Mus musculus: one gene and its partners. The main gene of each other region encodes a partner of the protein of the gene in region 2 in a complex. Links are inferred from orthologs where the notes say so. Each region holds a gene or a part of one and is shown on either strand. Other genes may lie near its edges.

What was found. The genes of interacting proteins can lie anywhere in the genome.
Region 1: Exosc9 (region 2) and Exosc5 share a complex: the UniProt entries of both Homo sapiens proteins name them as parts of the RNA exosome core complex. The link is inferred for Mus musculus from reciprocal best matches to the Homo sapiens genes EXOSC9 and EXOSC5.
Region 3: Exosc9 (region 2) and Exosc6 share a complex: the UniProt entries of both Homo sapiens proteins name them as parts of the RNA exosome core complex. The link is inferred for Mus musculus from reciprocal best matches to the Homo sapiens genes EXOSC9 and EXOSC6.

Annotation. Positions count from the first base shown.
Region 1 is NC_000073.6:25,658,097-25,661,845, forward strand, and holds the start of Exosc5 (exosome complex component RRP46), read left to right. Parts: upstream 1-1,056; 5' UTR 1,057-1,139; coding exon 1,140-1,287; intron 1,288-3,749. Other genes in the region: Bckdha (2-oxoisovalerate dehydrogenase subunit alpha, mitochondrial), read right to left, coding at 537-644. UniProt on the Homo sapiens protein: Non-catalytic component of the RNA exosome complex which has 3'->5' exoribonuclease activity and participates in a multitude of cellular RNA processing and degradation events.
Region 2 is NC_000069.6:36,551,196-36,554,944, reverse strand, and holds the start of Exosc9 (exosome complex component RRP45), read right to left. Parts: upstream 2,340-3,749; 5' UTR 2,260-2,339; coding exon 2,194-2,259; intron 1,911-2,193; coding exon 1,816-1,910; intron 1,140-1,815; coding exon 1,020-1,139; intron 906-1,019; coding exon 803-905; intron 308-802; coding exon 170-307; intron 1-169. UniProt on the Homo sapiens protein: Non-catalytic component of the RNA exosome complex which has 3'->5' exoribonuclease activity and participates in a multitude of cellular RNA processing and degradation events.
Region 3 is NC_000074.6:111,054,932-111,058,280, forward strand, and holds Exosc6 (exosome complex component MTR3), read left to right. Parts: upstream 1-1,407; 5' UTR 1,408-1,439; coding exon 1,440-2,261; 3' UTR 2,262-2,733; downstream 2,734-3,349. Other genes in the region: Aars (alanine--tRNA ligase, cytoplasmic), read left to right, coding at 88-273. UniProt on the Homo sapiens protein: Non-catalytic component of the RNA exosome complex which has 3'->5' exoribonuclease activity and participates in a multitude of cellular RNA processing and degradation events.

The DNA of each region.
Region 1 (3,749 bases), on a different chromosome or scaffold from region 2:
CATCTGTAATGCCAGTACTTGGGAGGCTGGGACAGGACTATCTCCAGTTCGATGCCTGTCTAAGCATCTGGGTGAGCTAAAGGCCATTCCGGACTCGTGGGTGAGATCCTGTCTCAAAAAAATAACGTGGGCAAAGGGTCCTGTTTGAACTTGTAGCTCTCTTTGTCTCCCTTCATAATCATCTTGTGTAAAGGACAGTCATGGCAAAGTCCCTTGCCTTGCCTTTTGATCAGGTGGCATAGGAATCAAACCAGTTTCTTGCTCAACTCCCTTTACAGTTGGAATTTAAGCAATGTAGGACCCTATGAAAACCTGATCTGTCCTTTCAACCCCCGTCTCGTCTCCTTCTATCGAGGCCCACAAGTAGCTGCCTTGCTTTTCCTCTAAAGGGATTCTTCCCTTGAATTTCTCTTCAAGAAGTTTCTCGGACCTTTTCTTTCTTTCCTTCACAGCCCGCGGTGTCTCACACAATGTAAGAATAACTTTTACGTCTCTATTTCTCCCTAAGAAAGACCCCGTGGGGCTCAGATACTCACAGATCTAGCCAAGCCCCGAACCCCAGATCGTCCCAACAGGAGAAGAGCAGCCTGGCGCAGGCCACGGCTCGGCCTCCAGATCTTGGCCGCAGACATCACTATCGCCATCTTGGCTAATAACCACTCCTCCTTTCTCACAGGATAGACATACGGCTGTCCCACCAGATGCCTTATTCAAATAGCAGCACCGCTAGGCCAACACGCTATCTGCTTCTAACCACCTTGCGACAAAGACGCATAAATGAGTAAGGTGGCAATTTTTAGTCTCTAAAATTGCTCCGGTCGTCTGCTTCTAGTTGCTCCTAATTCAGGCAACTAAAAGGACAACTTAACTTGAACCTTCAGGGTTCAGGACCCGGAGCCCTGAGCAAAATGGGCCCTCTCCAAGTCCCTCCCCCTGTTCCCTGTTGTCCAATGGCTATGCCAGAATTGGGAGGTGGAGGTGGGCGGGACCAGATTGTTAGTAAACGCTGAGCCACGTGCTAGGGCCAACTCGGGCGTGCCCTAGACGGGCGCATGCGCAATAGGTACGCGGCCGGTAGAACTGCGCGCGCCGCTAAGCGGAAGCTACGGTGGGAGCCGCAGCGCGCGTGGTCAGCGGCTATGGAGGGCGCAAAGCGTGCAGACGCCAATTTACTCACTGACACCGGAACAGAGTCCAGCCCCCGAAGTCCAGTCTGCAGTCTCCGGCACTTTGCTTGTGAGCAAAACCTGCTGTCCCGGCCGGATGGATCTGCTTCTTTTCTTCAAGGTACGAGCCTCACCAAGTTTAACTCAGCGCGCGCCATCCTCACCGAAGAAGGGTTTTTGAAGAGCGGTTACTGTGTAGTATGTAACCAAGTACGCCCGCCTCCTTGAACTTATTTCTAGATGTTGAGTATACCCACCTCCCGTCTCGAGAAGAAATGAGTTGGCCAGCCTGGTAAATCCCTCTCAGAGGAGATCGAGAGCAAGACCACTCTCATAAGAGTGACTATCCCAGAATAGGTATTTCACCAAGGCAGATATTACCCTTCTCTAGATTTCTTTCTTTCTTTTATCTTTCTTTCAAGACTTATTTTATTTATATAAGAGCACTGTAGCTGTCTTCAGACACACCAGAAGAGGGCATCAGATCCCGTTACAGATGGCTGTGAGCCACCATGTGGTTGCTGGGAATTCAACTCAGGACCTTTGGAAGAGCAGTCAGTGCTCATAACCACTGAGCCATCTCTCCAGCTCCCCTTGACTAGATTTCTTGGGTTTTTGTTGTTGTTGTTGTTGTTGTTGTTTTCACTTTGTTGTTGAACTCACTTTGTAGACCAGGCTGGCCTTGAACTCAGAAATCCGCCTGCTTCTGCCTCCCGAGTGCTGGGATTAAAGGCGTGCGCCACCACGCCTGGCTTTGACTAGATTTCTTAAAAAACACTTCTAGATCCATACATCACCGGTTGAGGCTAAGGTGTTTATTTGCATAAATACCCTTTGAGACAGACACATCACCACCACTGGTTTAAATATAATTACTGTGGCAGATGATACATCTAAGTAAGTGCTCTTCAAATTAAATGTGATCTTCCCATCCTGGGCTGAGAAGCATCTCCCCTTCCCCGGTCCCATCATTTAAGAAAACGTGCCTTTCCTTGGTATACACATTTCATCAGACTAAATGAATAGGGAGAAAAGAGAAGTCTTGTGGCTGAGACCCACACAACCCTATATCCCAGTCGGGCCAGCCAACTTTGAGAGGTCATGAGAGGGTGAGAAACTACCAGAGTAGACAGATGAGAGGGCAGAGACAGAGTTGACAATGGTGAGTTTGTTTGAGATGTTAAAGGCTGATCACCTTATGGCTAATAAGCTAGAGGTCATTGCTTATAGTGGTGGGTCAGAAAGAGCGAGAAAAAAAACAGTTGAGACAAGTCTCCAGGCATTTTCCTGCGAAGGAATCAGATAGATGGGGCAAGAGCTGACGACTGATAGAGCTTAAGAAAGGAGAAAACTGGCAGGTCAGTGGTGGCACACACCGTTAGTCCCAGCACTTGAGACACAGATGCAGGGTCTCTATGAGTTTGAGGCCAGCCTGGTCTATAGAGGGAGTTCCAGGACAGCCAGGAAACCCTGTCTTGGGGAAAAAAAAAAAGGGGAGACAGCTCGGGGCTGGAGAAATGGTTTCTCTTACAGAGAACAAAGTTGAGTTCCCAGCACCCATTCAGGCAGCTTTCAAGCACTTGTAACTTGTGGGGAGCCAGGATATTGGAAGCCCTGTTATGGCCTCTGCAGGGAACTATACACACACACACACACACACACACACACACACACACACATAACTTAAAAAGTAAAATAAATACTAGGGGGAAAAGAAGAGAATTTCTGCAGCCACATCATCGAGATGGTGGGAAGAAAGAGACTCCCTTGCTCGCTGAGAGCACAGTCTATCTAGCAGTACAGGAATGTAGCTCTAGTAAGCACCTGAGTCTATTGGGTTACCTCTGGTTTCATTGGAGAAGCACCCACAGATGTTTAGTGTTCTCATCCCAGGCTGGCTCTCAGCTTAGCTCATTGCTGAAATCAGCCTCCCCTATCTCTTGGGATATAAGAAATAGAGAGGGAACCTTCCCATGTTCTAAAACCCTAAACTCACAGGGCCCTAGTGCAAGCTGGAGACTTGGCAGACTTTCAAAAAGAATGTTGCAGACACTTCTGACCTCAAAGGCTCCTGTAAGAACACCCGATGGAGGGGGCTGTGGCTGCGGCAGGCAAGCAGTGCAAATGATGTGTATGTATGATAATGACACAATATCCCTATTACTTGACATTTGTCCTCACTAGGAGTCTCTTGCTGTGACAAGGACATAACCAGAATCAACGTGGCAGAACCTGGCTTTTCATGGCTTGTTCAGCCTGCTTTCATAGATAACCTAGGACCACCTGCCCAGTGGTGGCGCTGCCCACAGTGAGTGGGGGCCCTTCTATATCAGTTGTTGATCACTAAAATGCCCTACAGGATCATGCAGCAAGACCCTGTCTCAAGAAAAAGAAAATGCCCCCACAGACCTGCCTGCAGGCCAGTCTGATGGAGGCAATTCCTCATTTGAGTTTCCTCTTTCCAGGTATGGCTAAGTTGACAAAATGCAAAGCAAAAGAAGCAACTAGCCGGCACAGTAGCTTACCTTAAAGGCAAAAACAAACAAACAAACCAAAAACACCTGATGGTACAAAACCCCTAAT
Region 2 (3,749 bases):
GGCAATTCTGTGAGAGAACATGAAACTTCTAGGGCATTTCTGACCATTTGCAGTTTCTGTCTTGTGAATAAAAACTAGAAGAACCCTAAATGCTATCTGCCATGTCTCCTGTCAGCACACGAAGGATTTGCTCACAGGAACAATTCTGATCGGAGCCCTGGAAGCTTACCAGTGTTACTTCCTCTCCTTGGACAGAGACATCAGGTCTTCGGAAGTGACACAAGGCTACAATTGCAGCAATGCTAGCAGCATCAATAATATTCCCATCATGATTTAATAAATGTAGGTCTACACGGATCTGCCAAACCTGAAAGTGAATTTAATATAAAAATAAATCCCAACTGAGCATGACCAATGGCCACTGGTAAAGAAATACTGCACTTTTTTTTTTTTTAACGTATACGGCTAATCCTTCCAGTTTATCCAGGAAAAATGCAGTTAACTTTAAAACAAAACACTTGAAATACTAATAGTTAACTTATCTATGGGATTCATTTGAAAGACTAAGAATATGTAACTGAATGGAAGCATTCTAACATTTGAAACTTATGTTTTTTAAAAAACACATTTATTTTCCATGTATGCACATTTGCTTGCATGTATGCATGTACCACACTCATGCCTGGTGTCCCCAAAACTGTGTTAAAGCTTCTGGAACTACAGTTACAGAGGTTGTGAACCGCCATGTGAGTGCTGGCAACCGAACCCAAACCTCTGCAAGGTCTCCAGGTTCCTACGTCTGTTTTAATTGTGTCTGAATCAACAGTATTCATTGTTAAGATATTTTGAACATATTTCTCACCTTTTCACCAGCGACAACACAGAGAGATTCAGTGTCTATACACTTTGAATTTCGTAGACACCTTTCTAAGAGTCGATTCAGCTTCACCAAGAGATCTGACTGCCTATGGAAAGAAGAACGAACTAATGTGATAAACTTCGACTGTGAGCAGGAAAACAATATCTCACTGAGGGTAAGTTCTTCCATGGCTAAAGTAACTTAACAAAGAGTGAGATACCTGCCAGGCTCAAAAGCTGGAGCAGCCATCTGAGAAAGCTCAAGGTTAAAAAAGAGGATACCTTCCGTTGCCCTATTGAGTTTCGGAGAAACAAGTTCACAGGAAACCTGTCCAAGGACTCTGCAAAAATAAAGGTGCAAAGCAGTCAACTAAACGTACTTTCTTTTCAATTAAAAAAAAAAAAAAAAGGGTGACGAAATCTAAAATAACAACAACAACAACAAAAACCTAAACAACACAATGTGACATAAGAGGCAGAAATTACATATAGAATGTGGTAAACTGGACCCAGCAACCTGCCTACACACACACAATAATGCACATACACAATAATAAAGGTTTTTTTTTTTAAGGGTAAGTAGATTTCACGCAGAAATAAAAAATATTGGTATACACAAAAGGATGACAGAAAGGAAATCTCTTATTTCTTACATCATTTGAGAATAAAAGGGAAACTGAGGCTTACTGATGACATGATCGATACACTCCTCACACTAGAAAATGAGACATGCAGATAACCTGTGTGATCAATGTTAGCTGTCTACATGATTTATAATGGTCATACGGAACTATGATACTCATATAACAGAAAGCACTAATGGTTGAAAGTTAAACTGCGCACAAAACTAAAAAAGGCTGGCATTAAAGAAACATATTTCTCATCAGAATAATGATAATAATAAGAATAAGAATAAGAATAGCACGTTTGGAATTCGGAGCTGCTCAGTAAACAACCGAGTCAGTATGTTGTGATTTTCACACCTCCTGTTGCATTATCTAACTTGAATCCTGTTACCTTGTTTTTCCCAGTTCCACAATACAGCATCCATAATCCGTTCCGAATGAGATCCTGATGTTCCTGTAATCATAGGTCTGTCTGCCGTCCAGGCGCTGTAAGCAAACACCATTTACTGCTTTAACATATTTATGAGTGGCAACTGTGTCTGTGTGGTCCTGGTTCCCAACGTCCCTGCCACTGAATACTGCTGGCTTAAGGTTCAAAGGAACTGGTCAGGGTCAAATACTGCCCTGAGGCTTGGGGAATGGGGAGAGTCCACACTGGGCAGCCCCCGAGTCCACACCACGACCACACAACAGGCCGAACTGACAATGTATCCACGGACAACCCGAGTCTACACCCAAAGCCACGGTGTTCACACCGCAGGCCTCGCACCTTCTTCTCCTCAATTGCGCGGAGCAGGAAGCGGCGCTCACAGTTGGAAAGCGGCGTCTCCTTCATAGTGGCGGGCCACGCAAAGGATGAACGGCACCGAGACAAGTCCGCACACCGGCTTCTTCCCGGCGCGGAAAACCGACGTCATCCAGGCGCAGGCTCGGGGGCGTGGTGTGGGCGTGGCTAGAGATCGGGGGCCGCTGGGGCCGGTACAGGCAGTGTAGCAAATCAACGAAGATTTCCCGGGTTGGTCCTGCCCGGCATCGCAGTGGAGATTAGCATCTGCAGTGCAGTCCTGTTCCTAGTTTTTTATTGAGACAGAATCTCACTCTGTCTCTGACTGAACTCAACAGAGACTTACTTATCCCTACAAGTCGTAACAGTTCTTGCTTTGGGGGTAGGAAACAAAGATTTCCCCAGCTCTTGGGTCTGGATGTCTACCATCTTCCAGGCTGACCTAAGTATTGGGATTCCCTGGCACTTCACCACAGAGACAGTCTACTGAGGATGCTGACTTTTGTCAGAGAAAGATGGAAGGGTGGTGCGAATCGGTGGAGAATCCTTGTAAGGGCTTGGGGCGGATGGGGAGGATGTAGCCGACTAAAGGTGGTTCACATGGGACCTGAGGACGGGAAAACAAGTGAAGTGTAACGTCACTGACTGGAACCTCGTTTACTGCTTATATCTCATTTTAAACCGACAGGCTTATTTTTACAGACAGACATGTGTCCTCCATCTGCTGGCCGGTGTCCTGATTCACCCACATCAAGAGCTGGTATTTGACAGCTTGCGCAACGAGTGAGGCAGCAGTAGGTGATCCTTTAGTGCCCAAATCTTCTGTTTCTCCTTTTTTATTATTGTTTTTTTATTTTAATTACAGAGTCTCACTGTGTATCACTGGAACTAACAGAGATCCACCTGACCCTGCAAAGTTGTAACAGCTCTTGCATGGGTTTAGGAAATAGGGATTTCCCCCAGCTCTTGGCTATGGCTAGCTAGCAGCTTCCAGGTTGACCTAGTTTTTGGGATTTGCAGCAACAATGAATGCTACAGCTCTTGGCCCAGGGTCTGAGACCTTGGCCCCAAAGATTTAACAACTCTGAAACGTTCCAGTTGTCAGGACTGTAGTTTCTGGTCTTGCTCTCTGTTCTCTCCAGCTGTCCCTTTTCTGTGCTGCCTTTCTTCCAGTCCCGGCTGCTTTTGAACTATTCAGCTGCTGCTTCCTCGGCTGTCCAGCTGCCCGGCCTTGCCATTGTCTCAGCGTGGCCGCCAGACTGCACAGCTGCGTATGCATCACCGCTCTCAGCTGCCCCAGCTGCTTTTCCCGTTGCCCCCTCAGTTCACAGAACAGAAAGAGAAAAGTTTCCTTGAATCAGATGCTTCAAATCCAGAGAAGACAGCACAGGGTAGTGCCTTCCAAGCATCTCACTAGGTGATCCTGAGCATACATCTTCTATTTTTCTGGATTTTTTTTCCTCTCGTAAATATAATGGTTTAATTATGGAAAACAAAGAAGTTAATGTTTTTCTACCATTATTCTTCAGCGTGTACTAAAT
Region 3 (3,349 bases), on a different chromosome or scaffold from region 2:
CACACATGATACAAATGGATGTTGGGGGCGCCTGCCATTCCCCCCTCAATCCCATTCTGACTACCATTTTCCCCTCCTATCTCCTAGAATGCAGCCAACCGGGGACTGAAAGCCAGCGAGTGGGTCCAGCAGGTTTCAGGCCTGATGGATGGTAAAGGCGGTGGCAAGGACATGTCCGCCCAGGCCACAGGCAAGAACGTGGGCTGCCTTCAGGAAGCACTGCAGCTGGCTACCTCCTTTGCCCAGCTCCGTCTGGGAGATGTGAAGAACTGATGGGAGGGAAGCCCTCTCGGGAAAGCAACTCGCCATCAACCAGACATGTCCGAAGGCGGGAATTCAGCCAGGAGCTCTCCTCCCGCCACGAAGACATTGGAGTCATGGGACCTCTCAGCAGCCCTGTCCGTCCTGATCCAGCGGTAATGGGAACACGCCTGGAGCTGTCCTGTGATTCATTGCCCCCCTCCATTACTGCTCTGAGCCCATTCATGTCAGCACCATCTGTCTAAAATCACTACCCAGGAATGCTTTTTAACGTCATGATCACATCTAGATGAGGTCACTCTGCCAGCCTGAGGCTTTAGGTCTGCAGAGGAAGGAAGCCTTTTCTCTGCAGAAAATAAAAAGGACCATGTGCAATACTTGGTGATGTCATGCGCTCTGCTTCTTGTCCTGAGGTGAGCCCTGGCTCCTGTATATCTGTTACGGTTCCAGCCTGTTTCTGGTTGATGGTATCACCGAATAGACTCCCAGACTCCTGAAAGTTCAGGAAATTCAATAGAAGGGTGGAGGAAAATAATTCTGAGTTGCTTCCAGTGGAGAACCACTGTTCTTAGTCTCTTAGGACAACCTCCACCATGCCTGTCCACATGCCTGTTTGAGGCTGCTGATATGAGGTCAGACAACTGATATAGGCAGTATGAACATGTAGGTGTGTCCTACTAACTGCCCCACCCCTACTGCTTTAACCTAAAGTAGGTTCAAGACCCTGGCCCAGCCCTAAAATGCAATTTGTATGAATCTACAAACAGCAGGGTCTGGAAGCAGAGATACTGTCTGCTTATGACAGTTCCTCAGAGTGTTAGAAATATCTAGTTGTACAAAGAGAGATACCGTCCATTTATTAAACAAGTGTTGAAGCAGCCAGAGGACTAATTGCACGAGTAAACAAAAACCTCTCACCTTGGGCAAGCTTATGTGAAACAGTCTGAATGCAAACTTCTAGGAATAACAACAGATCCGTTCCTTAGGACTAGCTAAAGTACCAGCATAGGAGTCCAGCTATACCTCGCCGTTCTTCCTCCACTCCGCTAGGTGGCAGCGCGCACACCTACCGCTCTCCCGATAGGCTCTGCGCGGGCGCGCATCTTTAAGCGAGCGGAAGAGCCGGGTGCGCAAGGGCAGCCCAGCAGGCGGAAGTAGCTCGCACGCCGGTAGCCGCCATGCCGGGAGACCATCGCCGCATCCGCGGGCCGGAGGAGTCTCAGCCGCCGCAGCTGTACGCGGCCGAAGACGACGAGACGCCCGCTGCTCGCGACCCGACGCGGCTCCGCCCGGTGTACGCGCGCGCCGGGCTGCTGAGCCAGGCCAAGGGCTCCGCCTACCTGGAGGCGGGCGGGACCAAGGTGCTGTGCGCCGTGTCCGGTCCGCGGCAGGCCGAGGGCGGCGAGCGCGGCAGCGGCCCTGCGGGAGCGGGCGGGGAAGCTCCCGCTGCCCTCCGGGGTCGCCTGCTCTGCGATTTCCGCCGCGCTCCCTTCTCCGGTCGCCGGCGTCGCGCGCCCCAGGGCGGCGGCGGGGAGGATCGCGAGCTGGGACTGGCGCTACAGGAGGCTCTGGAGCCCGCCGTGCGCCTGGGGCGCTACCCGCGTGCTCAGCTCGAGGTGTCGGCGCTGCTGCTGGAGGACGGCGGCTGTGCGCTGGCCGCGGCGCTCACCGCGGCCGCGCTCGCCCTGGCCGACGCGGGAGTGGAGATGTACGATCTGGTGGTGGGCTGCGGCCTGAGCCTCACCCCGGGACCCTCCCCGACCTGGCTGCTGGACCCCACGCGGCTGGAGGAGGAGCACTCCGCGGCCGGTCTCACGGTGGCCCTCATGCCTGTGCTCAATCAGGTGGCCGGGTTACTGGGCAGTGGGGAAGGCGGGCAGACTGAGAGTTGGACCGATGCTGTGCGCCTGGGCCTGGAGGGCTGCCAGCGCCTCTACCCAGTGCTGCAGCAGTGTTTGGTGCGGGCTGCCCGCCGGAGGGGTGCCGCCGCCCCACCCTGATTGGAAAAAACCGGAGCGACGAGGATTCGAGGACTGCTATCGCCCTTCTCTCCCTAAAGGACCAAGCGCTGATGGTCGCCTGACTCCGCAGAGCTGAGAAACGAAGAGTGGGGCAGTTGGGCGCACAGAACCAAAGCACTGGACAGCTCTGTTGGAAAGGTTTAAAAGGCCGTTGGAAACACGATCCAGTTGGAGAGATTTGAAAGCAGCCATACTCCCAAGTTGGAAAGGACTTGGGCTGGATTTACCTAGTAAATGAGATAAGGGGCTATGGTCTTGTAGGAGATGGACCCAGTGCAGGCCAGCCATTGGCTCCAATACATAATAAACTGATTCTTTTGAGAGGATGGACCAGGGGACTTTGCCTTCTCACTACTCAGAGTAAAACATAAAAACTATTTTATGACTGGAAATACATCTGTTGTGTTTTTTCTTGATACTAGAGTTAGAAACAATGCTGTTCTGAACTGGGTGTGTGTTGAGTCTGTGTTTTCAAGGGCTCCGAGTCATTACTGCCTTAAGTGTTCATATTAGCCCACTGTAACTAAGAAGGGGTGATGTGCTTTGTAGGAGAAACCTCGTGCCCTGGAGCATTGTCTGGGGCAGCTGCTGAGGTGATAAGTCTGAGGAGACTCCAGGACAGCCAGGGCTACACACAGAAACCCCTGTTTTTTGGGGGTGGGGGGAGGGAACTGGAGAGAGTTAAAAGAAGTTCTGGTGCCCCCCTATCCTTTCCTTTAGGACAAAATCATGTCTAGGAGTTGGGTAACTGAAGGATTATGCTCTGGAAGGACGCCCAGTCCCATCCTGGTGTCCTGTCCAGGCTTGGCTCCTGGCACTAAGGCTCAGTGCAGCAATGGACTACTCAAATGGGGACCACCTAAATACTGTGGCATCGCTTACAGCCTGGCTATTCCATAAGGCAGAGCGGGCCTGACCAGGATTATAGGGGCTTTTCTTCACTTAGGGTTGAATTGGAGGAAGCTGTGTGGCACTTATTAAGTAAGGGGTTACTTAATAAGTGTCAAGAAAAAAGTATACATTTTGGCTGGGTGGTGGTGGTACACGCCTTTAATCCCAGCACAAGA